Linked DNA regions of Saccharomyces cerevisiae S288C. The gene in region 2 interacts genetically with the main gene of each other region. Each region holds a gene or a part of one and is shown on either strand. Other genes may lie near its edges.

The links.
Region 1: mutations in WHI3 (region 2) and ERV29 together harm fitness more than expected from each alone (negative genetic interaction), as found in Saccharomyces cerevisiae (2 studies listed by BioGRID).
Region 3: mutations in WHI3 (region 2) and KSS1 together harm fitness more than expected from each alone (negative genetic interaction), as found in Saccharomyces cerevisiae (2 studies listed by BioGRID).
Region 4: mutations in WHI3 (region 2) and SLH1 together harm fitness more than expected from each alone (negative genetic interaction), as found in Saccharomyces cerevisiae (2 studies listed by BioGRID).

The regions. Positions count from the first base shown.
Region 1 is NC_001139.9:1,058,376-1,065,134, forward strand, and holds ERV29 (protein ERV29), read right to left. Parts: upstream 3,216-6,759; coding exon 2,283-3,215; downstream 1-2,282. Other genes in the region: BGL2 (glucan 1,3-beta-glucosidase), read right to left, coding at 1-349; UPA1 (putative methyltransferase), read right to left, coding at 640-1,665; ZUO1 (zuotin), read right to left, coding at 3,477-4,778; BIO2 (biotin synthase), read right to left, coding at 5,438-6,565. UniProt on the Saccharomyces cerevisiae protein: Constituent of COPII-coated endoplasmic reticulum-derived transport vesicles. Required for efficient transport of a subset of secretory proteins to the Golgi. The C-terminal di-lysine motif is required for exit from the endoplasmic reticulum.
Region 2 is NC_001146.8:264,986-272,594, forward strand, and holds WHI3 (mRNA-binding protein WHI3), read right to left. Parts: upstream 4,609-7,609; coding exon 2,623-4,608; downstream 1-2,622. Other genes in the region: GCR2 (Gcr2p), read right to left, coding at 1-1,545; SLZ1 (Slz1p), read right to left, coding at 5,290-6,186; YNL195C (uncharacterized protein), read right to left, coding at 6,538-7,323. UniProt on the Saccharomyces cerevisiae protein: Involved in size control and cell cycle.
Region 3 is NC_001139.9:571,951-579,064, forward strand, and holds KSS1 (mitogen-activated serine/threonine-protein kinase KSS1), read left to right. Parts: upstream 1-3,447; coding exon 3,448-4,554; downstream 4,555-7,114. Other genes in the region: YGR039W (uncharacterized protein), read left to right, coding at 2,938-3,249; BUD9 (Bud9p), read left to right, coding at 5,537-7,114. UniProt on the Saccharomyces cerevisiae protein: Together with closely related FUS3, KSS1 is the final kinase in the signal transduction cascade regulating activation/repression of the mating and filamentation pathways, induced by pheromone and nitrogen/carbon limitation, respectively.
Region 4 is NC_001139.9:1,027,168-1,038,484, reverse strand, and holds SLH1 (RNA helicase), read right to left. Parts: upstream 6,695-11,317; coding exon 791-6,694; downstream 1-790. Other genes in the region: EFG1 (Efg1p), read left to right, coding at 1-685; chromatin segregase YTA7, read right to left, coding at 6,976-11,115. UniProt on the Saccharomyces cerevisiae protein: Involved in activation of the ribosome quality control (RQC) pathway, a pathway that degrades nascent peptide chains during problematic translation.

The DNA.
Region 1 (6,759 bases), on a different chromosome or scaffold from region 2:
CAACAGTGGATTCTTTAATTTTTGGCAAATAGGTTTGCAAAGCAGCCTTTTCAGCAGCGTAATGACTGTCGTCTGTTGGCCAAACACCGACAAAGATAGTAAATCCCTCAGCTTCAGCAGCAGGACCTAAGTTTTGCAAAGTGTTACAATCTGAGGCAGCGTAAACTTTGACGGTGGAAGTGTAGCTCTTCAAAGCTTGTAATTCGGTTTCATAGTCGGAAGTGGACTTACAAGTACCATCGTTGTTCTTGACACCCAAGTTAAAGGCTAGTTCACCAATAGCTGAAACTTGGGAGGCTGTGAAAAATAGCGCAGTAGCTGCAGTAGCGAGTGTAGTAGAGAAACGCATCTTTGACCGTTTTTCTTTTTGGTTAGTTGTCTATCTCAATAAACTTATATTGAAAAAAACAAGAAGAAGTCCAAATTGTGAATGAGGAAAAGTTTCTTTATAAGGAGGCAGTTAAAATCAAAATAAACAAATATCCTCTTGTTTTCTTCGTGACATTTTTCTCTTTTTCAGGGCGAAAAACTGAAAGAAAAATTTTAACGTTTCTTTTACTAAAAATAGAACTGCATATCCGTAGAAAACGATGATTATATAACATAAATAGTAATATCAGTTATTAATTGCTATTTATTTCAACTTGCCCAACGCTGAAACATGGTAAGAGCTATGGGTAGGCTATCTTGAATGGGTATATTTCCCTGGGGTACGGAAGCAGGGAATTGCAGTTGACCAGAAAAGTAATGATGCAAAGAAGAGGATTCTAAGTCAGATCTCCTGAAACAACGTTTTAAATGGCCCCATTTCCCGAAGATAAGCAGGATATTACAGGGTTTTTCTGATGTTGAACTTTTTTTCAGTTTTGCGATGTATGGTAGCTTTGTTTCTACCTTGTGGTACTTTGACAACTCTTCGTCGTAGTGGAAGTCACCACTGTTGACCCAAACGATCTTTGTGTAACCTTCGGACACCTCATTCAAAGTGCTTGCCATTCGAACATGATAGCCGAGTGGTTTTCCTTTGTAAGCATCTATGGGTGACACTACTTCTTTGCGCTCTGTATCAACTGTTACACGCGCAGTATTGGGAATATTTTGGTTAGATAACGTAATAATTTGATTCTTTCCTATATACACCAAATTTGTTAGAGCATCATCAGATTTACCTTTTGAGCTATCTCGTGCGATTGATAAGCCTTCCTTGTAGTGTTGTTCGGCAGATGCGTTCATAAAAGGTAGCTGGTTCAATGGCGGAAAGGTAGATGCACACTTTAAATATAACTTGTTTTTTTTTTTGAATGTAGTATCCAGTAAGTTTGGAGGCGTTACAAAATATTGTAATAGTGTGGCAAGTAATAAACAATCAGAGATAGTCTCCTTTGATCTTGATTTTTTTTCATGCTTTTTATCTTTTGACTGGTCTAGAACTATGATTTCTTGAACATTGAACAATACAGCTGTCCGAGCTATTTGATATGCAGTAAATGTAACTTGCTCCAAATTATTACAATTGTCGATAACAGTTGTCGGTATGCATATGGAATATTTGACCACATTAGATTCTATATCCATGATTTTTTTTAGCTTCAATAGGCCTGTCTTTGCCTTTTTGGCAGCCCCCTCTTCGTGCTTAAGGCTCTCGGATTTATGTTTTACTGCCATCTTCCCCTATTATGCTACACTTCCCTTGGTAGATGTGTTTCACCTCATTGGTATCAATTACCTCCTCTACTTAATATCCCAATTTCAACATGGTGTTTTCAAGCGATGAGGTGGAAAAAATTTCAAATAATATGTTTGGGTGTGCCCATTATTGCGGTTTACAATAGTTGCTAAAGAGCTATTTATTAGGAATTTTTAAACTTTAGAGATTGCTTAAAGCGACTTTAAAGCGTTTCTTTGGAAAGATAGGAGAGCGGATGCTATCTCAAGAGCATCTCTTCAATGATTTAAGCAGTGACAGTGTAAAACAATTACGGACCAACGAAAATGGTCAAATCAAAACTAATTACAATAAATAAGTTCTATCATAATACAAGGGAATTCTGTGCGATATAACCACATTGATTGAAGGTAGAATATACAAGCCAACGTGAGACCAATCAAATTTCGTTAAGTGCGCCTATACAAAAAGAAATCTTTTATGTAGATATGACAGTAAGAAAAGTATATATGTGAGCTAGCAGGGTATTGAAAGCGATCACAAGAAGGCAAAACGAAATAGATTGTTAGAAGATGAGTGAACAGAAGGGACATAAAGAAAAGATTTCCTTTACAATCTAGTAAATCTTCTTCTTTTCATCAACGGATAATTCACCAGCGCCAGTATTAGTAACTAATAGAAGCCCACCAATGATGCTTAAGTTCTGGTAAAACTCATACTTCAAGAAATCTCTCTTAGTATTGTTATAAAACCAGTAGTTGTTTAGCGTGATATTGTAAAAAGTTAGTATCAAACCCAACATAATGGATGCGAATTTTGTCTTGTAACCAATGGCGAAACATATTGTGCCGATAATGGTCAAAACAACAGTAAACCATGATTTACTGAAAGTGAAAGCGATAAACATTAAAACAATTAAAATTCTACCAGCAAACAACAGGTAACCCTTCGCTTTGTCGTTTTTGCTGTTTAATTCAGGAAGCATACCGAATGTTGTCTTGTTTTGAACAATTGAATCGCTGAATGCAATTAACAACCCACCAATAACACTAAAGTTTCTTAGGACAAATGATGAACCCGTAAACAACCCATAAACTAATGCTTGAGAAATAACGCAAGCACATAACACACCGGTGGCATAATTGGTTTGCTTTCTTAAAACTAACAAACTGGCGCCAATCAACATGGAAACGGTAACAACCACTAGAAACACAACGACAAAGAAGTATGGGTAATGCTTCCACTTATTCAGATAAAAAATTTGATCTGACCATTGTGATAAGATCCTAAACGAATCTTCATAAAAGGTGGCCACAATGAAAAATCTTGACAAACTTGGAATGTAAGGCTTCAATTTATAAACAACTGCATTGTCAGTGAGCCCCTCAATTCTGGAGGCAAACTTTTCAAAAGAATGCTTCCATTGCTTTAAGATGCCAGAAGTGGATTGGTTCTGGTTTGATCTGAATTGTGCACCGCCAGAGTATGGTCCTTGCGATGATGACATTGGCATACCGCCAAAATTTCCAATAGGTCCTCTGTAAGACATTGATCTATCCTTTCAGTTTTGTTTTCACTTTTTTTGAGTCGTACTAATTGCAGCTATTGTAAGTAAATAAGGACACCTTTGATCTTTCGTTAAAGGTGTCCTTTATTTTTCGCCTTTCTCATTATTCCCTCTTCTCTCATCTTCTAGAAATACCTAAAAAGGGAACCGTTACCCGAACCTATTCATTATAGAAATAAAAGAGAACGTTCTCTATAATATTCGTATACATTCGTATATATTCTATTCCATTTCTTACGGTATTCACACGAAGTAGGACAACAAGCTGGATGGTAGTTTGCCAGAATCGACAATAGTCTTTGCAGATTCCTTCAAAACTTCCTTGGCACCAGCAGCATTGGCCTTGATCTTATCGGCGGTGGACACTAACTCTTCGTCATTCAAACTGTCAACGATCAAACCAACTTGTTCGTCAATCGTGGTGGCCTTGTCAGCATCACCAAAGTAGTCAGCTTCCTTAGCAGAGTTACGGATGGCTCTCTTGTTCTTTTTCTTGGCGGCCTTAGCAGCTTCCTTAGCCTTCTTTTTGTCAGCTTTTGCGGAGGCGTTAGCCTTGGCTTCAGATTCAGCTTTAGCCTTCGCTTCAGCTTCGGCCTTGGCCTTAGCTTCAGCTTCAGCTCTGGCACCGGCTTCTCTTTCCCATTTTCTTCTTTCCTTTTCCTTCTTCTCTTCTTCTTTGAACATTTTGATACGGGGATCTTCACTGACAGCTCTTTCAACAAGTTTGACCAATCTAGCGTTATCAGCAGTCTTCTTCTTGTCTCTTGCGGCCTTGTTCTTTCTTTCAATGTAACGCTTGTGGTCTCTGTTAGAAGAGTCATCTGGGACATCTTCGTCCAAGAACTCAAAGGTTCTCCAGGAGTCAAATCTGTGCCAGAAAGCATAGAATTGTTCAACTTCCTTCTTGGAAGAATCTTTGTTACCTAGAGAAGGAATAGGAGTCTTCTTAGAAAAACGAGCTTCAGCTTCGAAAACGGGGCCCCAAGCTTCATAAAAGTCATAATCGGTACCCTTCTTTGGAGGAGGAACATCGGCAACAAAATCACATGAGTCGTACTGAGCTCTCTTGTTGGAATCAGTCAAAGTTTCAAAGGCCTTTTGAATAATCTTGAAAAAGCCATCTTGGTCCAAACTACCACCAGCAGCAGATTGCTTGTCTGGATGGTACTTGACAACTTGTTTTCTGTGAGCCTTGATGATTTGACTTTCAGTAGCTCTGAAACGCAACTTAGACAAACCCATAGCAGCATACAAATCGGCAGTTTTCCAGTCTCTAGCATCATGAGTCAGTAAATCTTCATCGGCCAATTCAGTGTCGAATAACAACTCATCTGGGTCGACATTGGATTCATCAACGGTTTTGACGTTCTTTTCAGCTTCAATTCTTTCAAATTCAGACCAGGTGTGGTTTCTCAAAGTTCTTTGAGCATGTTGCAAAAAGAACTTACCAACCGGTTCGACCGGACGACGGACGAATGGGGTTTTGGTAGCGGAACTGTTGACTTCAACAGTGATGTCTGAGGTTAGGGTAGGTAAAGAAAACATCGTTACTCTTGTTGGTATATGTGAGACAAAACGAAGATTTTATAAAAGCATCGGTAGGAAAACCTTATGAAATTTTCTCTACCAGCTCTTGAAATAAAAATTTCGAACTCTTTGCAAAATTTCATCGAGAAAAAAAAAAGATTCGTATTTGCGGGTAATATTTTTTGGACATTTGTATTAGGAGCGTTATGTTCATTAATGTCATCCAAAAGATAGTTATAAATCTATGATTGTATGGTTTCTTTGACATATTTATAGTTAATATATATATATATATGTGTTTAATTTTATAAAAATTCCATCGTTTATATTCGATTATTTTTATATGTCAACCTTTTTTTTAAGAAATGTTCATATTTAGTCAAGTTCTTAATGAAATGAACGGTTGAAAGTACAAGGCAACTATCATTTCAAGATATAAAAAAATTGCCCAAAAAAAAAAGGCCATTTGATGAAATGTCTCATCGCGCTACGATTTCTGCTGTAATCAGAACTAAATGCGTGATCGGAAGTAATATTAGATATTGGATGCATAAAAGATAAAACGCCAGCTAACGATGGCAGAATAAATAGGTAAATATATATATATATAGGTTTTCTTAATAAATAAGGGAGAAATGTACAGTTAGAATCGTAGAATTATCCACATATCCCTATCTTCAAGATCTGTCGTACTTAAATGCCTCCATAGGTTGCAATCCCCATTTAGCCAACATTGCCTTGTCTTCGTCCCAACCGTTACACATTGTCGTCAGCATTTTCTTACCGGTGAAGATACTGTTACAACCTGCCATGAAACAGACAAATTGCTCTGTTTCTTTCATTGTATAACGACCAGCGGCAAGTCTTATAATGGCCTTTGGCATAACTATTCTCGCTGTGGCAATGGTTCTCAAAATTTCGTCGAATTGCAACTTTTTACTCTTTGGATCGGCAAGTTCCTCAGCCATTGGAGTCCCTTTGATAGCAACTAGTCTATTAATTGGTAGGGACTCAGGATGAGGAGACATATTGGATAATGTGTAGATGAATCCTATATGGTCGTCTTCGCTTTCACCGAGACCCAAAATACCACCGGTACAGGCTTTTATTCCAGATTCTTGGACATTCTTGATGGTCTGTAACCTGTCGTCGTAGGTTCTCGTGGTGATGACCTTACTATAGTGTTCTCTGGAAGTGTCGATGTTATGGTTGTATGCAGTCAAACCTGCATCTTTCAATTGCTTTGCTTGATCTTGATCAACCATACCTAAAGTAACACACGTTTCTAGCCCCATATCATTCACTTTGGTCACCATTTCCTGAATTCTTTTCATGGCTGATTTACGACCTTTCATGTCTCTCCATGCAGCACCTAGGCAGAATCTAGTAGATCCGTTTCTTTTGGCCTCTTCTGCCTCTTTAATCACTTCATCCACTTTAACCATTTTCTCAGCCTTTAGACCGGTATCGTTTCTCGAAGACTGCGCACAATACTTACAGTCCTCAGAACAACCACCAGATTTGATGTTCATCAATGTGCACAATTGCACTTTGGTTGGATCGTGCCACTTTCTGTGCTGCAATTGTGCTGCATGAGTAAGTTCGAGCAGTGGGGTATGATAAATTTCTTTTAATTGCGATTTTGTCCACGAATGACTTGGTTCATCTAAAGACAATGCATATTGTAGAGCACCCAGAGTACTAGCTTCTGAGGATGCAGTTGTCGATTTAACTGCGGCATTGGTTGCGTATTTAGTTAAAGCCGGTCTAGCGGTAGATAAATGACGGTAGATAGTAGACATCATACTGCACTAAATTGAAAATAATCGGCTAAGTTAGCTCTTCTGAGGACACCACTACCAGAAGAGTAAGATCTGAAAAATTTTCAGCAAGTATGGGAGCAAAAAAAGCTTTGCCCTTTTATATAAGATCTGCCTAAGAGAAGAAATAAAAGATACCAAGAGAATCTAGCAGAGTGGCAAACGAACTACATAGCCTG
Region 2 (7,609 bases):
CCTTAACCACTGCGTCTCTTGGCGCTGTAATTCCAATTCTCTTTCTAATTGCACAATTCTTTGGCCTTTTTCAGAAATGATTGCGTCATAAGCTTCTTTCAATGGGCGTATCACGGCTTCTGTATCTATAGGTCCCATGCTGTTTGAAGGATTTAAATCAACTTTCATTTGGGTGTTATTCGCGTTTAAATTAGTGTCCGGACCATCATTTATTAACGCACCCTCTGCTGCAGTTGTCATCGGCCTCTGCCTCTTACTCGTATTTGTCAGTTGCAAAAGTTCTTCCACCGCTTCGTCATCCAGCGTATTAACATCTAACGATCCCAGTGACCTTCGTTTCCACGAATGGGATCCATTATTGGACATTGTATTATAGCCCATGGTATTACTGGAAGCATTGGGGTTCAGATCTGCATGACTCAAACCAAATTCAAATCCTCCTGAGCCAGGACTGGTTGGCTGTGTATAATATCCTGTCAACGAACGAGAATTGACATCTTGTGATAGCGTTTGCAGTCGTTTTTGTAACTGTTGAGACAATGATGGATCAAAAAGCATATTGGTACCTGGGTTGCTTATTGTTGTATTACTGAATGCACTCGTATCTGTAATGCCGTTTCTCTCTTTATTACTATTTTTATTGTTTTTCCCATTTTTAGCATTTTTAGCCACCCTGGTGCCTCTTTTTTTCGTTCGGTTGTTTGGCATGTTTTTATTTCCATAGTTCTTAATATTACTCCCATTTCCAATATTACCATTGTTCCCATTATTGTTCCCGTTGTTTATTCCCTGTAAATCTGATGGGGAGCCTTTAGTTGATGTATTTAAGGAGTTTCCCTTCCTGCGTCCTTGAGTTAGAATTTGGCCGGTCTGAGGATCGAATACTGTAAATATGCTCATTGAGACTAATCGCCACAATTCATCGTTTTCTAATTCTGAGTCTGTCTTTATTTGCCAAAGCCTTCCATCCAACCGGCGGAAGTATTTTGCGTAAGGACTTGCGTCAAAACTCAGCTCTAGTTCCTTAATCATCTGTTGAAATCTTTGATATAGTTCGATTGCCGATTTTGGTGATGTTGATCTATCGTCAATTGACCCAGATGATAGTGTAGCGTTATATAGTTTTGATATTTTGGCGAAAAGTTGAGAATATTGCGCTTGCGTATATATTCCATTTGAGGTGGCACTAGAGCTCGCATTATTACCAGTAGTGGCAGGATTGCTTGCATTGCTAATGGCTGAGGTAGAACTTGAATTACCATTCGGCGTACCATTAGCGCTATCTGAGTTGGTTTTCGTCAGAGCATTACTACCAGTGCTAGTTATAATCTCATCGATGTTAGGTGTGCTATCAGACCCCATCAACCCTGTTGGATTAGCTATCCCTGTTCCAACCGCCCCGTTAACCATACCTGAGGGCGTGTTCGTTGTCGTCTGTGGCGAGTTTGTAACACTCTGCAAGGAAGCACCACTAATGACAGACTCGTTAGACAGTAAATTATAAGCTCTGATTATGAATACATCTAACTTAGTTTGGTGATGCATTATGTGAGTGTAACTTTTCGTCAAATACTCTTTGTGTTCTCAGGTTCCTTTTTGGTTTCTTGGTTGTTTTCCCATTCAGTCTAGGCGTAAGAATGTGAAGAAAGTCAAATACAGACCGCAAGCACCTTATGGATGCGTTAATGATTATTATGTCTAACGGACAACTATCGCAGAAGTCGCGGTACTTGAAGGAGAAAAGTCGTGAAAATTTTATTTTGGACAAATTGTCCAAGAAAAATAAGAAATATGACGTTATTACCCGTATTGAGATTCCATTGAAAGACATTCATAAAATTGATCAGTTCGGTCATAAACAAAGTAGAACTTCGAAATATCAAATATGTTCTTGCCACTGGTAGCCCATATTTTTTTAATCTGCTCTTGTAGCATAGGGTTGAAAATATTACATTGAAGTCGATACCGATATATACTTCTATAAAAATGAGTTCTGGAATAAAAGTAAGGCTAATACATATATATAGTGGGAGAATATCCAAAGGCAGAGTTTTTTAAACAAGGAAAGAATAAAAGTTGGCAGCATAAAAAAAAGATATTCTCTCTTCAAAACATTTGTCGGATATGACCTCACCTAAGCACTTGGTGCTTTGATGACAATAATCACACTAAAGAGCGATATTCGATAGTGAGACTTTTCCCTCTCAATCTTATTCACATTAGCGCAAGCAAAATGGAATGAATGGCACATTAAAATTGAAAATAAAAGTTCTTGTTGTTGCAGAAGCGGTATAGGAGTTCGCAAAATGGTAGTTAAGAAAAAAGATGGCGGGTTTAATTCATAGTACAATTCAAATGTTAGACAGAAAAAGAAAAAATTTCTGTTATATGCACGTTGTAATGTAATAGTAAAAAGATAATTTAACGTAATTGAAGAGATAAAGTATTATCGATGTTATTCTTATTATTAGTCGGTTTAGAAAATATTATTATAACAAATAATAAAAGAAAAAGAAAAAATGCGACAGAAAATATTATTCTTATTATAGTGGGGGAAAGATGAAAAGCAATGCATATAATGTGATACATGCAAGGAAATCAGGTTTTTGCGGAACCATTTTTTTAGTTTTTTATATGACCAACATTAGAATTGTAACTGGAAAGCATATTTACATTAGGATTTGGGTTACCACTGCCTCCTCTTCTGCTGTTTGGGCCCCTAACACCCAGTGGGTTTTTTGAAAAGCTTAATCTGATACCTCCCTTACTGCTCACAGTGGAGCGAGGTAACTGTCTACCATACAATTCAGCTAACGCTCTGGTTGCAAAACTGACATCATCGAATTCAACGAAGCACATCGGTCCGTGACTATGACCATTAGATGTGGTATTCTTATTCCTGAATGATAGTCTTCTGAAGCCTTCTTGACCAGAAAATAGCTGTCTTAGTTCTTGCTCAGTAGCGTCGGAGGGTAAATTCCCTACATAAAGGGTATTACAAGGTGGATTTTGATCAGCAGGGTTGGCAGGAGGTGGAATTCTGGCTAGTAGTGACAAATCAGCCTGAGAAATCGAGGCAGATCCAGTAATATTTGAGGATAATGAGGTAGTAGAGTTATTCTTGTGTGAATTTCTACTTGAACTTAATCTTGCGGGCGGTACTTTTTGAGGAGTGTTACTTTGATTCACAGGATACATATGCTCTGGTTGGGGTTGTTGCATAAATCTGTTCTGTTTTTGAGGTGTAATGTTCATATCAGAGGTGTTTACCATATTTGAAATGTGCTGCGATTGAGAAGACATTAAACCGTATGGAGGCAATGAATTTGAAGAGGTTAGGGAAGTGTTAATCGTGTTACCAATTTGCATCATTGGTTGTTGCGAGCTGGCAGAGAGTGCCTGGTTAGCACCATTATTGCTGGCTCCATTGTTGGAGCTGGCGTTTGCATTGGCACTGGTGTTGCTATTCGTAGGTGCAATGGCTGTCGATGCTGCAGAGGGTAAAAAGAACGAAGAACCATGTTGGGATGCAGAAGTATTTCCCCATTCTAAAGTTGGCGTAGAAGGTTGGGGAGTGCTCATGTAACCGTTGATGCTGGAAGGTATACCGCTTGTGCCCCATATCTTTTCATTAATTTCAGTGTTATCTCTCAAAAGGAAAGATTTGCCAATATCAGATGTTTGAATTGTTGATTCCACAGACAAATCTTGATGTGAATGGTTAGAATGTAACCCAATAACCTGGCCTTGAGAAGATAACGGTATTGAAGAATTCACTTGTTGTTGATTACATTGTTGTGGTGAATGTTTTTGCGTAGAGTGTTGTTGTGGCTGTTGTGGCTGTTGCTGCTGCTGTTGAGATTGCTGTTGGCTTAAAGGAGAATCATTGGAAAATGGATCGCTGAATGAAAACCTGGATCTTTGTGATAACAGACTTGGCCTTTTCATTCCCGAGTTCGATTTATTCAATCTTGAGGTGTCATTGAAAATGGCAGATGATGGGAATGAAACCAAGTTTTTTGTTGTGTCATCTATTATTTCAACGGTTGTTTTATTGGGAAAACTGGGTCCAAAGAGTTCATTTTTCGAATTCAAAATAACGGCATAATTAATAGCTAGATTCAATAACTCAAATCTGGCAATGATAAAAATATCATTCTCGTCTTCTAATGAGGCAGAAGTGATGCTTGATGAAGAGTTTTTTTTCTGTAATTCTATACTTTTCACACCTTCAGCAAGAGCGAAGATTGCATAGCATTCTCTGAGAGTAATATCCTTGGCTACATTTGACAATTTTAGGCTGTAGCTCCCCTTAATGTTGTTATCGTGATTGCTAATGTTGCTGCTTGCAATGTCTTGGGGCATACTTCCAAGGGCAAGTGTGTTTAGCATAGAAGATATCGCTAAGGGTGAGTTTGTGTCATTCAAATACAACTCCCCACTTGCGCTTCCTCTACCCGACGCTTCGTGGGGATGAGAAGTAGTGTTCAGATTCAAACTGGAACGATGACTGGGAGAAATGTTGTGTGTGTTGGTGGTACTAGACACAACGTTGTCGCTACTGGACGCAAATGACCCTGTTTGGTCAAAATAAACTGAACTTTGCATGCTAAGAGATACAGGTTTTTCCCTCTGAAATATTGATCGATAAAGGCTGCTCTAGGTAAGTGACGCTTACAAATATTTGCAACTCACAGAAAAGTGATGACAAAGACTTTTAACTTGAAATGATATGATCAGTTGAGAAAAAGCTGGTGAAGCAAATGAAAAATACGGGAAGAAAACAGGAACAGAAGGTTTTCAAAGTACACGACTTATTTTCTCTTTAATGCTAATTGATTGAATAAAGAGAAGACAGAAAGGAAACTGACACGTAAAATATGTGGACGGAATAAACAACTGTGCGTGAGCAGCGTTTCAAAAGCCTTTTCTTTTTGGAGGTCTGTGCTTGTTTAAAGAAGGCAATTCAATCAGGTGGTTATACTTGTTTATTCCGGCTTACTTGGTCGTGTTTGTTTTTTCTTTTGACCTCTCATGTCCGAAAAGGTCCAAAACAACGAGAAAAAAAAGCAGCAATCAGTTACCCCATTTAACGCGGGTAACAATAACGATTGTTCTAAATAGAGCAGATATCCAATAGTTGAGAACATGAAGAAGGATGGCGATAGAATCAGTGCGAAGCAGTCTAAAGAAGTTCCTTTCCCTTTCCTTTCCTTTTATTTTGCTAATAGTATTTGATATAAAGATGAAATACTATAAGAAGTTTATAAATTTTTTAAATTAGAAAAGCTAAATAGCAGCTTGATCGCAACAAGTGGGGAATTCTGACCAGCGCGACGCTTGTTGCATGGTTATTCCTGCATCTGGGACTGGTTTTTCATCCATACACAATCTTTCAAGCCCGATGGTGACATTTTTGACCTTGTTTGAGTATTCCATCTCTTGCTGCAGTAGCTTTTTACCTCTCTCATGCAGACCATTAGATGATGCAGATATGTTAAGATCTTCGGTAATTAGCGCTACTGAATTGAAGGAGGTTATGTCGTTGTAGTTGATATTATATTTGGGATCAGGAACTGATGAGACCGTAGTCGCATTACTGGTCGTGCTGCAGTTTGACCAGCGTCGTTCCCAGGAGGTGAACTCCATGTCTTGAAGGACAAACTGACTATCTTTCGAGACGTCGAGGACGTTATCATTGAAAAGTTCCGTGAGTTGGACATTAAGAGGACTAGATGTTTGAATAGCCTGATCTATCATGATCTTGGACACGGTTTGATGGTCTATGTCAAAATCTAGTCCAGTCTGTGGTTTAGGTTTACCATTTTCAGCTGCTGTGTTCTGATTAATGGCTTCTGAATTCGGTTCTTTGAAACGAAATTCTTTTGCCAGTGATAATTTTTTCTGTTCTTTTAGCCTTTTGTCTTCTCTTTTGTAGTTTTCTTTTTCTACTTCTTTTGGCTTCTCTCTATCTTTTCTACTTGTATTTTTTTTTTTGTTTTTAGCCATTTTATCTAAGAACTTTTTCCTTTCTTCACCAAAAGCTCTCATTTTATCCTTTTCCCTCTTAGTATCTATTTGATCAACATTTCCACCTTTTGATTTATTTTTCTTTACTTGTCGATCTTTTGGTAGTTTCACTTCGTACTTTTTGTAACCGATGATTTGATCTACTTTATTCATCATAACAGTAATATATTATGTTTTTGATTTTTACTATACTGATTAAGGTAGAAAATGGGACGATCTTGCTTTTTGTGTCCTTTCATTGAAGCACTGTTATTTATACGGTCAACTGCAGCCGGGCATAATTTCGGCGGCTATTCATATTGTCATCCCCGCACTCCTTCTTTGACAGCACGCAAGCACATGGAGGCTGATAATGCCCTCCCATATTGTAATAGAATATATTTATGCAATAAAGAGAACGCAATAGCTGCATTTAACCAATAAAAAATTCGTTATGACAATAATATGTAGACAAGGATATAAAAGTATAAGGTTGGTTATAAATAAAAACTGTAGGAAAAACAAAAACTACTTATGCAAGACCTTATTCTCAGGGTGCGAAATACTATGATCAGTAGCGTTTAGAACGTTAGCCGAAGGATTAGTCTCATCCATAATTTGGTTTCTTGGGACATTGTGCCGATCACCCACACCGTAGGCGTAGGTTTCCTTTTCCTCAGTTTCCTGATTGAATGATGGAATACTTGCGGGATATCCCTGCACTTTAGTGGTGTAAGAAGAAGCAGAGACGCCGCTATTTTCTTCTCTCATCATTTTCTCATTGTACCTGTCTGAGGAAGCCGTTTGGGGGTCCATCATGTCTTGGTTGTTATTATCGGCACGGCGAGAAGAAACGCTGTTCCACGCGTCGATGTGATGAGGTTGACTTTGAGGTGAACCTGCACCGGGAACATGTTGGTCGATAGGCCCATTGAAGTGCGGATCAGAGGTGTCTTGACAACCAATCGGCACGTTCTTGCTGTTCATTCTTGCCTCGGTCATTTTACTACTATCAAAATTGGCTAGCGTAGACCTAGCGTTTTTGTTATAGTCACTGACCACTCTATTTGTGACTTTGCCACATCCCGGGATACCGATGCTACCGGCACCGGTGTTTAAAGTAGGGCCTGGGCATTCAGTTGGTAAAATTCCAGAGCGCTGTTCGTGAGACGAAGAGTGTCCGTCACGATGAGGATATTTGAGGTCGCTTGCCCTGCCACACCCTGGAACGCTGTACGTTTTATCCTTTGCCTGGTTCATATTGAGAGCATCATCACTTGCATATGCTTGAGCAGATTGGCCCAAACCCAGCATCCTGTCATAAGATTTGTCAATATGGTAGCCGAAGCCGTGCTGTGTAGCAGAAGACTCTTGGTTTGTGTCTAATTCATTGCTGTCGAAATAGTGAAAAGAAAAGAAAAAGAGTTAGTAAGATGTGTATGATACATTAAAAGGAAGTTAAAATACGATTTCTTTTTATTAGATGGTATCATTACATTGTTTGACGTATAGTATTAGTATTATTAGAGGTTGAGAATTAAAGATATTATATTTAGGGAAACATAAAAGATTAGTGGAATATCGGTGCAAAATATTAGTA
Region 3 (7,114 bases), on a different chromosome or scaffold from region 2:
TGCATGTTGTCTTGCAGATTTATCGTTTTTTTGGTGAGACTAATGAATTTCTGATTATAGTAGAAAATTCGACTGCTGAGAACCATAGATGATTTGGTAGACCACTGCAATGAAGCAGTGTGCGACAATCGTTTAATAAAGTACGATTTAATCGTTCAGCGACACCGTGTGCTCTAGAATCTGCCGTGGTTGTATAGCATGCAGTAATACCTCTGTTCGTAAAGAACTTATGAAGAGTTTTGTTAGTGTACTCGGAGCCACGATCCATCTGGATAACTAGAACGCGAGCATTGAATTGGTTCTTAATAAATGCTAATATCGATGTAAAAACATTGAGGATAGATTCTTCACGACGGTCGTGTAATGGGTACACCCATTGGAATCTGGTTTTCTCATCTGTAAACGATATAAAGTAAGAAGGTGCACTTTTCGGTAAGTGATGTACAGGACCAAATATATCGGTGTGCAAGTACTGAAAAGGCTCATATGATTCTTGGTACTTTAGTCGTGATCCTTTGACATGTCTATGTTTCGTGCTTTTGCCGATTAGACAGTCAGGACATTGATATGTGCTAGCGTTAGACCATTCAATATCCGATTCCTTCAAATATGTAACTGCATTCTTCTTAAGAGACTTCTGAATACTTCGGAAGTTAGCATGTCCAAGCATTCGATGTATTAACGGATATGGATATTTATTTACGCTTTTGCTTTTGTTGACGTTGTTTATTGTTAGCTTTGAAATGTGCGAAGGAATTAGGTATTTTTTAGATAACCAGTAAAAGTCTCCATGTTTGACTATGGGAGCTAGTACTGTACCATCCGATCTTTCTAAAGTGTTTCTGGTAAAGCAGGCAGTAATATTTTGATTAGCCAGCTCACTCAAACTTAATAGATCATAGGCTATGTTTGGTGTGTGTAGTGCTTTTATTGATGTTTTGGTGCCGTTCTGAAAGTTGAAGTGAAGATTACCAATGGCATTTATAGGAATGTCTTGTTTTTGAGCATCGACTATGTTTATTTCAGAATTGGGTGTTGCATGGTGTAAATAATGGGCTGATCTGACAAGCGTTTGCGAAGCTCCTGAATCAATAAGAAGGTGATCAGGTAGTTCGTCATTCGAGTCTATTGTGTGTGTTGGCTTAGATTCTTTCTGTTGCTGGCCTAAGACTAAGTTCGTCGTCATCGCTTAAGTATTGTGATGAAACGGTTGATTCATTAATGTGATCATTGTTCACCCTTGAGAATTTACTAGATGTAGCAATATTGTGAGCTTTTGCTGCTCTTGGTTTTGAACTATTTGTTCTATGATAATTACGAGTTGTAACCTTTGTGTTAGTCGTGTTTGGAGATGTGCGAGAAACATTTTTGTATTCGCTGTGTTGTTTGTATTGGGACGGTTTATTTAGATTCATGATTTTATTTTCGTCATATATTAATTGAATTTCAGCGAATAATTGGGAAAGTTTCATGTTCGTTTTGGTACGATATTGATTACGTAGGTATTTGAAGTCACCGGATAGACCTTTAAGTATTAGTTGACAGGCCAATCTGTCGCTAACATTGATATTGTTTTCTTTTAGCCTCTGAATGATCGTACTGACTGTAATTTCAAATGTATCAGCAGATGTACTTCCGTCGTACTCAAGGTTGGCAAGAGCTATCCAATCCTTTAATTCTTGATTGTTAGTTTGCATTTTGGACACACTTTTACAAAGGACTGTAAGGATGTCAGCATAATTAATTTCTAAAATTTGTTTTACCCATGTTGGCAATAAATGAAATGGGGCAAATGCTTGGAAGGTATTGTATATATACGCATGTTCTTCATAAGTCATTTGTCTTTTGATTTCACCCTGGTCATTTGGAATGATGTCACCGAGATTAGAGTTCTTCAAAAATCTGATGTAAAATTTAACCCATGTAGAAAAGTTTTCTTCTGATGTTAAAGTGTGTGGTGGTAAGACGTTATTTCCCACCTTTGTCTTAGCTTGAGGTATTTCAGAGTGTTGATTTTTTAAATCGATTGGATCAGGTGAGGAAGTACTCAGTGGTGGGATATACTGTGGCAACGGATAGTGTGGGTCCGGTTGATAATACGCAGGTGACGTTTGATAATGTGAACACGTCATCATAGATGGTTGTTGGTAATGTGCCCAGTTAGAGGCCATAGCTTTGTTTGGGGTCATCATGCCGTGCTGTTGGTACTGTCCATTCTGTGGAGGTGGTACTGAAGCAGGTTGAGGAGAGACATGATGATGGTTCTCTGGAACAGCTGATGTCCCAGGTGTTGTCTCTTGTTGAGAATTAACCTTAGTGGAATCTCTATCAAATTCCGGTAAATTGGAAGCTGAAACGGCTAACGGATCTTGATTTTATGGGACTTCCTTAGAAGTAACCGAAGCATAGGCGCTACCATGAAGAGAATGTGGATTTTGATGTAATTGTTGGGATTCCATTTTTTATAAGGCGATAATATTAGGTATGTAGATATACTAGAAGTTCTCCTCGAGGATTTAGGAATCCATAAAAGGGAATCTGCAATTCTACACAATTCTATAAATATTATTATCATCATTTTATATGTTAATATTCATTGATCCTATTACATTATCAATCCTTGCGTTTCAGCTTCCACTAATTTAGATGACTATTTTTCATCATTTGCGTCATCTTCTAACACCGTATATGATAATATACTAGTAACGTAAATACTAGTTAGTAGATGATAGTTGATTTTTATTCCAACAGTATTTATGTTTTGTCATTCTTTTCTACATAATCTTGAAACTAGGTAGATCTACAATTGAAAAGTAAATACTAACATTATTTACTAAATTTAAGTTAGAAATCGGCACGAAAAAAATTTGACAGATTACGAGAGTCCAGCCAAAATATGAGTATATTACTATTTCCCCTTGGTGAAAGAAATGAAAGATGTTATTTTTTACCGGCTTAGTAATACTGAGCTACTTACTTGGGGGAAAGAAAGATTGGCTACTTATTATGTATGAAGCCTCAGATTACCTTGAATTCCTCAACCGTTTGAGCAGTATGCTCTTCAAATTCGAACTTTTTGAACATCTTTCCTCCACATTCCTGATTTTTTCACATTCAAAACGCGCTGTGAAGCTGTTAGAAATTTACAGATCGAGGCATATTTCTATATATAATGTATTTTTATTAAGACACCCAAAGTACTTCCAATCTGTAGATATTGCACTTTATCTGACCAGAAGCCAGACTTGAACAGTTACATATTGTGCTTTGCAGTCGTTAAATTTCCCGAACTGTTTTCGTATTTTTTTTTCTTTTCCTCTTTTCCACTGGATCAGATCAAAAGCCGACTAAAAATTTGGCAATTTAAAGAAAGCATCTTTTAAAGATAGAAAAGGTTATTTCAACAAAAAAGTATCTTTTCTTCACTTTTCTTTCAACAATTCAAAGATGGCTAGAACCATAACTTTTGATATCCCTTCCCAATATAAACTCGTAGATTTAATAGGTGAGGGAGCGTACGGAACAGTATGTTCAGCAATTCATAAGCCTTCCGGCATAAAGGTAGCTATCAAGAAAATACAACCGTTTAGCAAAAAATTGTTTGTTACAAGAACTATACGTGAGATCAAGCTTTTACGGTATTTCCATGAACACGAAAACATAATAAGTATATTGGATAAAGTAAGGCCAGTATCCATAGACAAACTAAACGCTGTTTATTTAGTCGAAGAGTTGATGGAAACCGATTTACAAAAAGTAATTAATAATCAGAATAGCGGGTTTTCCACTTTAAGTGATGACCATGTTCAATACTTTACATACCAAATCCTCAGAGCCTTAAAGTCTATTCACAGTGCACAAGTTATCCATAGAGACATAAAGCCATCAAACCTGTTACTAAATTCCAATTGTGATCTCAAAGTCTGCGATTTTGGACTAGCGAGGTGTTTAGCTAGCAGTAGCGATTCAAGAGAAACATTGGTAGGATTCATGACGGAGTACGTCGCAACGCGATGGTACAGGGCACCCGAGATAATGCTAACTTTTCAAGAGTACACAACTGCGATGGATATATGGTCATGCGGATGCATTTTGGCTGAAATGGTCTCCGGGAAGCCTTTGTTCCCAGGCAGAGACTATCATCATCAATTATGGCTAATTCTAGAAGTCTTGGGAACTCCATCTTTCGAAGACTTTAATCAGATCAAATCCAAGAGGGCTAAAGAGTATATAGCAAACTTACCTATGAGGCCACCCTTGCCATGGGAGACCGTCTGGTCAAAGACCGATCTGAATCCAGATATGATAGATTTACTAGACAAAATGCTTCAATTCAATCCTGACAAAAGAATAAGCGCAGCAGAAGCTTTAAGACACCCTTACCTGGCAATGTACCATGACCCAAGTGATGAGCCGGAATATCCTCCACTTAATTTGGATGATGAATTTTGGAAACTGGATAACAAGATAATGCGTCCGGAAGAGGAGGAAGAAGTGCCCATAGAAATGCTCAAAGACATGCTTTACGATGAACTAATGAAGACCATGGAATAGTATTCACAAGAACATTTCTGCCATACTTCTAAAATTTCCCTATATTCAGCTTAGCAGTGACACGTTGTGGTCTGTAGGTCAATATGTAAGTAAGAAACTTCAACTCACATATGCACGATGCATGCCAATGGAAAAATGCAAGGAACGAAATGGCGCCACGGCAACAAGTTTTTTTTTTTCGCCAGCAGAAGTACACGAAATGCGGCTTCATGAGCCTCTTCACTGCTTTGCCTAAACGGGAAATGCAGAGAAAAACCAGCCATCGCGTGTGCTTGGAGAGCTGACGCGACTGTAATCAAAGAGGCGATATCAACACCTTTTATCCAGCACTATTCAACAGTGAATGGGCTCCCAAGTAAGTCTTGGCATTGTGCTTTCTATTCTTAAGTATTAAGTAGAAGTTTTGTTTACTGGGTTTGTTTATTCCTGGCTAGATGTTCGCATTCGTTTTCTAGTTGACCATATTTACCAAATATTCACAACTAATACCCAGCCAAGGTAGTCTAAAAGCTAATTTCTCTAAAAGGGAGAAAGTTGGTGATTTTTTATCTCGCATTATTATATATGCAAGAATAGTTAAGGTATAGTTATAAAGTTTTATCTTAATTGCCACATACGTACATTGACACGTAGAAGGACTCCATTATTTTTTTCATTCTAGCATACTATTATTCCTTGTAACGTCCCAGAGTATTCCATTTAATTGTCCTCCATTTCTTAACGGTGACGAAGGATCACCATACAACAACTACTAAAGATTATAGTACACTCTCACCTTGCAACTATTTATCTGACATTTGCCTTACTTTTATCTCCAGCTTCCCCTCGATTTTATTTTTCAATTTGATTTCTAAAGCTTTTTGCTTAGGCATACCAAACCATCCACTCATTTAACACCTTATTTTTTTTTTCGAAGACAGCATCCAACTTTATACGTTCACTACCTTTTTTTTTACAACAATTTCATTCTTCATCCTATGAAATGACGAAAATAACCAGAGATGTTTCGATAACGACAGAAAATTCAAAATCCACATCTGGATCGGCAACGGCTTCATCCGCATCTTTACCTGAGAACGACCACCCAATATTCCATCAACCGCGAGCAAGAATAAGATCTGGTTCGCTGTTCATCGAAGGATCTGATTCATTTCCATCATCAGAAGTGAAGTCATACAATGTTTATATTGATGATAGCAAGTATAGTGAAATCCTCAAAGGAGATACAAATTCAAGTAGTACTGATGGTAAACAAGTCTTTGAAGATGCTAGAGATGACAATTTCCATCAGGAATCACATAGAGATCTAGAGGATTCAATTTTAGATTTAGTACGACGAGATCCAGAAGTAGCAGCATTCCCTTTACCTCCGCCAAATTCAAATGAGAGGAACAGAAATTCCTCAAACGGGTCTTCCGCTGAAACTAACCTAAATGGACACAGCAGCAGCGGTACCATCTCTACTTCGGTGCTGTTGAATATGGGTTCGGCAGAAAAGCACGCTGGGACGACCAGAGGAGATCATATGGAATCATCTTCAATGAAATCCTTCGAGAAACTGGGAACCAGACCTTCTTCTTTATTCTATCCACCACCCGAAGGAACTGCGCCGTACCAGGGACCAAGGGCTACCGTCTCCGGAAATAAGTCTACAAGGCAAACACAAGGTACATACTCATTTCCTTCTATGCGGTATGGTGTAGATCTTGTTTCTCCTGTGGAAGGGGCTGTTGATGTAGCAAAAAGCAGAGTTCCTAACAGCACGCTAAATGGTACTTTTCCCGATAAAGCGTTTATCCCACATGAATTTCAAATTCCTAAAAAGGCCTGGAACAGAATACCAGCGAATAAGTCCACTAGCCTCAAAACCCCAAGAAACCATTCCCTATTAATTGACATATTAAAGCCTTTTGAAGCAGCTGACCTTGCTAATGACCAGCGAAGTTCTTCCGCTGTTTTAAAAAATACAGTGCATTCTAATGGGCAGTATAATCCAACTAATGAAACCTCTGGAACTCGAATGCAAGATCAAAGGCAGAAGAATACCAACGAAATTGATTTAGAGAAAATTCCTAATCCTCAAGTCCCTCTTGGTATCGCAATGGACACCATGCGTAGTCCAAACCAACTACACGAAAAGGAATACGAAAGTAATATAGAAGCTGGTTTAGCTTCTGGGGTCGGAAAAGGTGACAATAGTATTAAGCAACATCAATATAAAAAAATTCCTCAAGAAATTGATCGAGATCAGCAATTAAGTTTTCAAATGGAAACAATGCCCATTCAAAGAATAGATTCCTCCTCCATACGTTCATTTGATTCCCGAATATATGGCTTCTCCGAGATTTATAGTATTCCAAGGGTTATAACTACACTGTGCATCTGCCTTTTTGTTCCGCCCTTATTCTTTTTCTTTTCAATCAATGGAAATAATGGCGTTTCAAATTATAGATTAATGAGAATGATAATGAATTATGAACATAGAATCGGCCTCCTCAAAGGGTTTGAATGGGACATTGACGTACAATGGTTCAGGACATTGTGCTTTGTATTAGGATGT
Region 4 (11,317 bases), on a different chromosome or scaffold from region 2:
GAAGAGAAGCAAGGCTCTTGGGTCATCTCTAGAGATGTCCCAGATAATGGATGCAGGAACAAACAAAATTAAAAGAAGAATAAGAGATTTAGAGAGGTTATTAAAAAAGAAGAAAGATATACTTCCATCCACAGTAATAATAGAAAAGGAAAGAAATTTGCAAGCTTTACGGTTGGAATTGCAGAATAATGAACTCAAGAATAAGATTAAAGCCAACGCTAAAAAATATCATATGGTGAGATTCTTTGAAAAAAAAAAAGCATTGAGAAAATATAACAGATTATTGAAGAAAATAAAAGAATCTGGCGCAGATGATAAAGATTTACAACAAAAGTTGAGAGCCACTAAAATTGAATTATGTTACGTGATAAATTTTCCCAAAACTGAAAAGTATATTGCACTATATCCGAATGATACACCATCTACAGACCCAAAGGGCGTAGAATTGACAAATCTTAGAAGAGAACAATTTCTTAAATTAGTAGCTGAAAGAATGGATGCGAACACCTTAAACGTATCTTTCGAAGAGATATTGAAGGGAAAGAAATTGGATGAAGATTCCATCGGATTAACATTATCACCTGATAAAGATCATGAGGATGGATCACAAGTATCACCTACACAGGATAGAAAAGAATTGGATCAAGTTGTGGGAGAAGATGAAAAGGATGACTTTTTTGAGTAAAAAAATTCTAAATGCGTTATGTAAGAAAATATATACGAAGATGTATACTAGATAGATTTCCACTGTTATCTTTCACAAAATAATTGTTGTTTTAATTGTGTCTCACTAAGAGATTAGTTTATGGACCATATCATAACGTAATCCTAAAGCGTCATTAATAAGGGAAAATTGCAATTCTTCGCCACGAATTTCTTCGGGAATAAATAGATCACAATGTATTATGACCTCTTTATTCATTTGTTTTGGTTGACACCTTTTAATCATCAGCAGTTCATCGCCTTTGTGTCCAATTAAAAACCATAGTTCTTTTTGTATCTTAGGGAATTTATCACAATATACTTCAAACCCATTATTATGCTTACTAGAAAGGTGCTTGCTATAAAATGTTAACACCTCGTTATTTTCCTGTTCTTCAAATTTCATGCCTTCTAAAACCGGTAATCTTTGGCAGACACTGACGAAACGTTTTTTCGTATCTTCGCTTTCTGTCATTCCAAAAGTTAGTTGATCAAAAACATTTAATAATTTCTTATATCCAAACCTTCCTATTTCCTCCAAGGTTAACAGCTTTTTCTTCTTTTGCTGCGGCGTCATTTCAATGAACCCCTGCTCGCTAAAAGTGTAATCTTTGATTCTTCTCAGTTGTAATCCTGGAAGTACACTAACAGGATCGTCTTCATACCAATACCCTTGCTTTATGCATTGCATCATCTTTATCATGGTCAATACCGTATGAAAGTAACCCAATTCACTGGCGACATCAATATAAGCCTGTAGAATACGTAGAGATTGATCCAAAACTGATACGGTATCCTGGATATAATCTGCAATCGGTAAATCTACACGGCTTAAATGAGCTTGAAGTAATAAAAATGTTTTTACATGTGGATCCCACATCGGTAATTCGAATTCATCGGTAAAAGTGCTTTCAACGGAGTACCTCGATTGCTGCGACATTTCTTCATTCATGATAATTTCACCACCTCTTACAGGCAATTCATTATACTCAACAGCCAACGATAACCATCGTAATACCTCTTGAAAAGTCGCATGATCATGTATCTGTTTCAATAATTGGCGTATCGTTAAATGTGAAATATAGTAGTATGAGGATATACTTAAGAATGGCGTAGCAACAATATCATCTCCATGTAATAAAACACATTGTGATTCTCGCAGATTTTCTAATGTGCTATCTATCAAAGAACTCAAATGTTCACTGACTCCTGCTGTACTTGTATCATCTTCAATGCCATAATATGTCGGGTTATGATGCGCTCTACGAAACAAAAATGTCCAACTCAAAAAATCTAACGCTTCTTGCTTATTAGTTATGCTACCTGACGTTATTTCTGCACCTAAATGATCATCTAATACCTTGTGCAAGGAGGACTCGACAGGAAAACCAACGTTTAGGAAATGTTTATAAAACATTTTTTTGGACTCTTTTGTATAAACGATAGCAGTACCTGTAGTGTCATAAGCCGGTCTACCAGCTCTCCCCATCATTTGCAAGATATCTGTTAAATCCATATCTCTATATCCTTCAATTTTTGCATCAAAAAATTGTGTACCTTTGATGATAACCAAGTGAGCTGGCAAATTGACACCCCACGCTAGGGTTGATGTAGCGATCAGAATCTGAATTTTGTTTTTTTGAAACAACTGATGAGAAATAGAACGATCTTTTTGCACTAGACCTGCATGATGCAATCCAATACCGAACTGGAGTGATAACTTTAAAGTGTCGTCAGTGACCTGTGATAAGTAATATTGCAGTTCCTCCTCATCGTCTATATTCAAAAACCTACGTGGATTATCTTCCATTCCACATAAGTGGATCAAGTCTAAAGCCGTTAGTCTAGTTTGTCTACGCGATGCAACAAATATTAATGCTGGTTTATCAGGTGAATGTTGTTTAATGGCCATAAACACAGGTTTGTTCATTGTTTTCATCAGAGGACAGAATGCCAAATTATCTGGAAATCCATCAATGTACATTTTCAATGGAACCGGACGGACGCTTGACGGGAAGTTATACAGTCCGTGGTCCTTAACTCCCAACCAGCCAGCCATGTCGTAGGCGTTTGAAACAGCAGTTGACATACCTAGCAGTCTGACCGGTTGCTTGGTTTGAGAGGAAATATAATTCATACGACTAACAATCATTTCTAAGATAGGACCACGATCACTAGCCAACAAATGAATTTCATCCATGATAATTAAAGATACATCTTGAACAAACTTACGAGTTTGCCAATTACGGGAAATACCATCAAACTTTTCTGGAGTTGTAATAACAATGGTGGCATCATGCACATCTTTAGGATCTGGCAAAGAATCACCGGTTAACTCTACAACTTTATCTCCGGTCACTGGTGTTATTTTCTTTCTCCAGTCATCAACCCTTTCACGTACTAATGCTTTCATTGGTGCGATATAAACAATCTTTTTCCCAGGAAATGTTTTGAAGGCATGCCATATAGCCAATTCAGCCACAATCGTTTTACCAGAACCTGTAGGCGAGCCAACAAACGCATTCTCATTGGTATTGTAAAGTGTATAAAATGTCATAGTTTGCATGGGATTGAAATACTTGAAAGGATAAATTGACTCAATTAAAGGATTCTGGAGGGCTGATGTAGGTAGAGGACGTAACTTCAACAATTTTGTCTGTAAAGTTTCGTTAAATGGTCTGATTAAATGTTGAAAAGAGATGGCATGGGTCGATTCACAGCCAATCCAAGTATCCGACACAACCTTTACGACAACCTGCGGAGGCAAAGGGTCTGACAATGGGATCATGAAGTCCATTTCATGCTGATTATTCAACTGCCTTCTGTTTAAGATGAACTTTTCAAAATGAAGGATTTGCGACTTATCAGATTCTTCAACGAAAACCCAAAAAAACTGTGCATCACCATGTATCCGGGAATCCCATACAAAGTCTGGACCTAATGCAATATGTATCCTCATTACATTTGTTGTAATGGGGAAAATCTCAGCTTCTATATTAATCTTTGGAAATCGGCTCAATATTTTATATAACCTAGACCCGGCCTTCTTATTATGCACCAGCTCTCCGAGCTCATCTGCCTCTAATTCTAAAAGATGCTCCATGGAAGGTTTAGTATCTCTGATGCGTCTGATAATATTTTCAGGCAAATCAAACTGACAGAGAGGGTGATCAAAGGCCCAGAGCCTCTTTTCAATAGATTTGCAAATATTTAGCATGACGTTTGAAAATTTACCCCATCTTCTATTGACACCTATTAAAAACAATGCTCTACAAATTCTAACAGAGTTCTGAGCAACATAATTCGAATCGGATGATAGTGCTGAGTCAAAAATTCTAGTCTGGGAAATATAAGCCTGTAATAGCACGTTTGCTTTACCTTGAGGGGTGTCAAGTTGGCTTCCAATCTGGCACTCAACAGATTCATCAGAAAGTCTCTTCAACTCCTTGGATTCTTCTTCTCTAAATTTTATACCGTCAAATTCACTGCTCATACTGATCATGGACAATACATCAGCTTCGGTGGCTCTGGGATCACACATTTGATTGAATATCTCGACGGATTCGTTCAAAAGATAAAAATCAGAGGACACCCTGCCCAAATCCTTTGCAATGAAATGCATTGACACTTCATCGAACACAATCATTTGGAGAGCATGTAATCGCCTTGCAGCTACTACGATCATTTTTCTCCTCCGTTCATATAATTGCGGGTCATTTGCAATTTCCTCCCAATCAATACCGTAAGTAAAAGGATTTTTTCTCATACGAACAAACATGTATGTGTAACCAAGCCATTCGATTGCTTCATCTACATTTGTCACGCTCCCCAATGAAATTTCGGCGTTCAGGTTATCAACCAACTTGGAACCGAATCTAGATTCGATAGGGTGTTGTTGAGTAATTAAGGAAACATAATGATCCAGACGATCATTGGAAGTACATAAAATACCCGTACCATTTGCGGAACCGAAGCCCGGCCTACCACCCCTGCCAAAAATCTGAATAACATCTGAAATACCTAGATCTATGAATCCACCCTTTTTAGAATCATATACTTGTGTACCCTTGATGATAACACAATCAGCAGGTAAATTAACACCCCATGCTAATGTTGCAGTACAACACAGTACCTTGATAGCACCGTCTTTAAACATTTTTTCAGTAAGATTTCTATCTGAACGGGCCATACCAGCATGATGGATACCAAAACCAAATTGAAAAATCTCCTTCATATCCTTGTCTCTGTTCTTCACTAAACTTCTAGAATATTTATCCTTTTCGATAGGGTCAGGTGCAAAAAGGTCAACTTCGTGGTTAGATTCTGCTAGTTTGATAAAGTTTCTTGCACTTTTAACAGTTTCCTTTCTTGAGTGGACAAATACCATTACCTGGTACCCTCTTTGAATCATTTCACTCAATTTGTCGTAAGCGACTTTATCGATATTCTCTTTACTTTGTCTACTACCTGCCTTACCTCTACAGCCCAAAAGTTGCTGCTCTAGAGGCTTTGGACGGAATGATTGATCAAAATAGAACATTCCGATCTGTCTATTTACTCCTAAGAAATCTGCTACATCCATAAAATTGGGTAATGTAGCTGATAGACCGATAATACGAATCATTGATTGAGAGCTTTCTACCTGTCTCAAGGTACGTGCAACTAAAGTTTCAATAACCGAACCTCTATCTTCGTGCAGTAAATGAACTTCATCAATAATTAGTAATTTGACCTTTGAAACCAAATCGTTGTCGCCGTTTGCTTTACGGGTGACAACGTCCCATTTCTCAGGGGTTGTGACTATTACTTGAGTGGCTAAAATTTCCGCCTTTGTCAATTGCATATCGCCTGTTAACTCCCTTACTTGTATATTAAAAGGCGCCAATTTCTTACTAAACTTGTCGACGATTTCAGCAGCGAGTGCTTTCAAAGGGGCAACATAAATAACTTTAAAATCATCATATTGAATATCAATTTCATTTTCCCCGTTGACCACGGAGAATTGTTTTATTGTATTAATTATTGTCAGTAATGCAATGTCTGTTTTACCTGCACCAGTAGGTGCACAAATTAGCATATTTTCATTTGTTTTATAAGCTACGGGGTAAACAAGGGATTGTATTTGGTTTAAAGTTTCATAGGGAAATACAGTCTTGCAAAAATGATCCAAATCACTTATTTTCAATAGTTTTGTATAGAGATAGTTCTTGTTGGATGCCTGATCTGCTGCCGGAATTATAATTTCTTCATGGGTATTGTACGACATCCTTGTAGTCCCTACTGGCAAAGTGAATTTTTGACCGGCAAAGGCCATAGCTGTAGTGGATCCTGCTTCATATTTTCTGAAGACGTGTGGGTACTTGATTATTTTAGTGGCGGGATTTAATTTCCTATTCTTGGCATCCTCTGCACTTTTCAAAACTTGATTCCTGATATCTTGCTGTGTCAGGAACTCTGGCGTTGAATTGACCGCATTTTTTATTAGCAGAATCGTCGTTTCTATAGGTGTAGCAACGATCATTCTTCTATGCTGAAGTAACAGAGAAACAAGGTCTATATTCCCTGTTCCTAAAAAATCCAACAATTCTTTCTCTAACTCTTGCTTTTGATGTTTATAAACCATTTGCAGTACAGTTTCTAATAATACATTGCTGCTTAGTGTCGTTTCAGCTTCATTGATTAGTTTTCCAATTTTTTTATATACTGCAACTGCATTCTTTGTTTTGTATGAATCAATTATAGATTGCAGTTGAGCAAATGAAATGTCTTTAAACTCCTCAAATATATCATCCCAATCATTTCTATCTTGTGAGAGAACAGTTAGTTCAGTTCTTTGATTTTGTTCATCCTTTTGGACTTTTTTTAGCTCGTCATCAAAATCTGGTAAAGAGATTTTCGATCTATCTAGATTAAAGGTTTGTGAAGTATCAATCATAGATTGCATTGCAATCATAAATGATTTAGATGAATCAGCAGAGTATTCAGTTGACATCTTGAGCCGGCTATTGATGGTACGGATCTACTTCTCACAATTCCAATGGTGTTAGAAGATATTATGAACATGTTTAATTTCAATATGTTCAATACATATTCCATTCTCGGTCATTACCCGAAACGTATGCCAGAACAGTGACTGTTAAAATAAAGTAGTGGAAAAAAGCATAATATATATACAAGGTGTGGTTTTAAATCTATTTCTTTTCAAGAAAAGTGCACATTCATGTATATGAACTAACTACATTTAAGAATTATATAAACATTATGGACTCCTGCTTATTCAGATAAAAATTTTATTATTTCATCGACAGTTCCTGTTTTATCCCATGCTGATTTACTTTTCCATATTATTTTTGCAACGGACGAATGAACATCTTCTAATTGAGAAACCGTAAAATTCTGACAGTGTTCGATTAAGCATGCAGATACTTTTTTTATTTGTTCGGGCGTCAAAATAAGCTCCTTGTCGCTCTTCTTCCCTTGCTCCGGTTCCACAACCTCTTTTGGTATCGGACTTCGTTCCCTTTTTTCTACCGTTTCGTGGAGGGAATTTGGTTTGTTAACCGATTGAATTTCCTTTACGTGATTTATATTATTAGTATTAGCGTCTATTTTGCTGAAGTTTTCTTCCGTAACCTGCGTTTGCAAAGAGTCTTCATTCTCTTTTGGTTCTTTTCTGGCCCTTTCATCATCATCGGTGGTTATCTCTGACGTGCAAGTGGCCTGTATCAGTTCCGTTGTGTATTCTTCATTTGCACCGCTATCCTCAGGGATGACCGCTTTTTCTTTATCTACTGCAGAGGGAATTGCCGCAGGAATCTCCTTTTTATACAGGTTGGTATCAATTGGTTGAGGGACCTCGCTGTTATTAACGATAGAGGCTGTATTGATAGTTGTTTGCAGCTGAGCTTGCAATTGATTACCAGCAGCTACACCAAACTCATTAGCCTTGTTATCCTTTAAATCAGGTTCTTGCAGTATATTTTCTTGACTCTGTTCTTTGGCTTCTAATTCCATTGCAGCTCTTTTCTCTTCATCTTCTAAGAAAAGTTCCTGCCTTTCCAAATCCCTTTGGCGAGTAGCTTTACACTCTTGAATAAAATCCGGGGTTGAAATTTCTTCGATACCCATTTGCGCGTTGGCAAACATCTCAGAGGCCTTAATGACACGTTCTCTGTCCCCAATGGTATTTGCATCCCTGTATATCAGTTCAATGTCTTTTAAAAACTGTTTTGGTTCTGAGTAATAGCCATTCCAAAGTCTCTCTTCGACAATATCCAAATCCATGTTAAAAAACTTTCGCCCTGTTGAAACCTCCAGAATCATGTTCTCATCTTTTATATATGCAGGTTGCCAATTGGGATCATTGCTTGTCTCTGGTTCGAAAAGATGAACCAAGAAGGCATCATCAATAGGTGGTTTTCTAAACCTTTTATATCTGTTTTTAAAAAGATCCATCAAGCCTGAGAGTTTGATTTTTAACACATTTTTCAATCTCATATCTTGGTGTTGAAAAGATTTCAACTTCCTTCTTAATACCACTTTTTCAGACAGTGGCTCACCATTTTCATCAAAATTTGTTGGAGCTGCGTTTGAAGTTACTTTTTGTAATTCAGGTAACGGTTTGACTCTTCTCTTTTTCATGGGAATATCACTTGGCTTTGTTTTCAGTAGTTCAATTAAATTAGAAAAATACCTCGTTATATTCTCTTTGGATGGTTTATGCAGTTGAAAGATATTTTTATCAAAAGCAAAATCAGATAAAATACCATTTTTAACTTCAGATATATCAAGATTTTCAGCTAAGCATAATAGAAGAATTTTTTCATTGCTTTGTAAAGATCTGAACAAACCTGATAAGACTAAAATAACGTTTTCTGGAATAGTGTTGATCCAAATGTCTAAATTAGGAATAAATACAACTGAGGGCTGTCTTTTCTTTGCTTCCATAAAACTTTGCACTACAGCAGCTTCAATAGTCCTAGAACTTTCCGAAACCAAAGAGGCAAGGTCCAGGTTTTGGACGTTGAATTCTTCTAAATAATTTAAAATTGCGGCTCCGACATATTGTTGACCATTTCCCTTGGGCCCATTTATTAATAACCGAGGTTTACAAATTTGTGATTCCGCCATCGATTCGAAAAACTCATATGATCTAAAACTGGATGTATCTTCATTTCCTCCATATTTGTCATGCTCTTCTTCCTCTCCACTGTATTCTTCATAATCGATGAAATTTTGTAGCAATGATGTGTTTCTCTGAAAAGTTGTGTCTTTAATGTTCAGCATATAATCCAGCTTGTTCTTTAAATTATTAAGTTGATCTGCCAGTAATGGTTTGATTAATTCAGGTAGTGGCTGAGGAGAACTACCAGTAGATCTCGCAGATGACGGAACAATTTTTTTCAAAGCTAACATGAAATCGCTAACTTTGACTTTAATCTTAGAAGGGTCCACCAAGAGTTTATCATTTGACCTATAAATTTGAGGAAAGCTTCTTTGTATACTTATTAGTGCAGCCTCAGTGCATAGGGACCTCAGATCAGCACCACCATATCCTTTGGTCAAAAAAGCCAATTTATCAATGAAGTTGGTTGACAACGGTGAACTCCATTTCCTGGTCTGAATTTGCAAAATTTTAAAACGTGCTTTAACATCAGGTAATGGAAAATAAAATTCTCTATCAAATCTTCCCGGCCTTCTTAATGCGGGATCCACTGCATCGGGTCGATTTGTGGCTCCGATGACAATGACTTGGCCTCTATTGTCCATACCATCCATCAGCGCTAATAATGTGGAAACAATACTAGCATGGATCTGTTCTTGTTTGGAACTTCTCACAGGCGCTAATCCGTCGATTTCATCAAAAAAAATGATGGAAGGTTGATGTTTTTTAGCTTCTTCGAATAACAAACGGAGTTGTCTTTCAGCTTCACCAACCCACTTGGATAAAATATCTGCACCTTTACGCATAAAAAATGTGATCTTCCTTTCATCAGAAGAACAACTTGCTGCTAACGCTCTTGCCATAAGTGTTTTACCCGTACCAGGAGGACCATGGAAAAGAACACCCCTTGGGGGCGTGATATTAAAATTTTGATACAATTCTGGGTATAATAGTGGTAAGGCCACCATTTCCTTTAATTGGTCAATGTAGTTGTCTAAACCACCTATATCGTCAAAATTTACATTCATGTCTACGCCTAATGGATCGAGGTCTGCAATTTCTGGTTTTTTCTTCTTCTTTTTTTGCGTGTTCTCTTTCTTTGTTTTCGGTGTCACGCCAAGAGGTAATATCTCATCATCGGAAGAGTCTGAATCCAGTATTAATTTATTGTTGTTATTATCACTGAATGCAGATGGGACTTGGTTGTAAAAATTAGTATTCTTACCAAATATTGTAGTTACGTCATTGCCACCAAAAGGTCCACCAGTGGGAAAAAGCCTTCTTGTGGGACCAGAATTTTGACTAGCATTCCAACCACCGCGACCACGCCGTGCAGGTGATGGGTTATGAAAAGAAAGTGCATTGTTATTCTTATCTATAAATTCTTCTGCGTTGCTAGCAGTTAGTGGTGGTGGTAATTTGTAATTTACCGGCTTAGTTCTTTCGCGAAGAAATCTTTTTTCCCTGATAGGACTATCTTCCTGTAACTCTCTAATTTCATCAGCTAAAGTTAACGCTTCATTCCTGCTATTATCATTCTCATCGTCATTTTCTTCATTTGAAGTACGCGAATGTCTTGTCCTACTTCTTAAAGCTCTTCTTACCGGTGGTGGAGTTTCTGGGTGACGTGACGATCTTGTTCTTCGAGAATTTGCCCTTTTCAAACGTTTAGAAGAAGCCGAATGGCTTATTCTGTCTCCTTCTTCGTCATCCTCATCGTATTCTTCATCGTCATCAGGGTCTGGTACTACAAATTTCCTATCGGCCGCTCTGCGCCGACGGTTGTTATCCTTCGAGTCTTCATCCAAATACTCATCTTCAAATTCGTCTGCTTCTTCCTCCTCTTCATCATCGTCGACATCTTCCTCATGAAAACTTTCGTCATCTTCTTCTGGATCATGCGCTTTTCTTTTTCTCAAGTTCCTTTCATTAGTAAGCTCTTCGTTCGTTCTGGCGTTTTCGTGCGGTGATACAAGATCAACATCATCGTCTTCATCATCGCCTTTCTGGTTGTTGTTATGATGTTCATCACTAGTAACATCAACGGGCGTCTCATCTTTGTCCATGACCTGGTCATCTTCCAAAAAATCAAACACTTTCTCAATTTCTGCGTAGTTTATTTTTCTCAAAGAGCGAGTTGTTGTATGGATTATGCCATTTTCGTCTTTAATCTGTGTTTCATACCCAACCTTTGCGTTGCTTGCATCTTCAACGTCGCTACCGCGTCTATTCCTTAAATTTCGTGCCATGTTCTTTCTGCACCAATTGTGAATAAATAGCGAGAAGAGAGAAATAGACCGTGGTAACTTCTTTTTATGACTGTCGAAAACAACAATGGGTTAGTAAGGAGTACGCAAGATCCTTCAGACGTTTTGCTTTATTTAAGACCCTACGCAGTTCCTTTTCTGCTCCTTTTCGTCCCAATATTGCTCTTTCGCTACCACTTTGTCC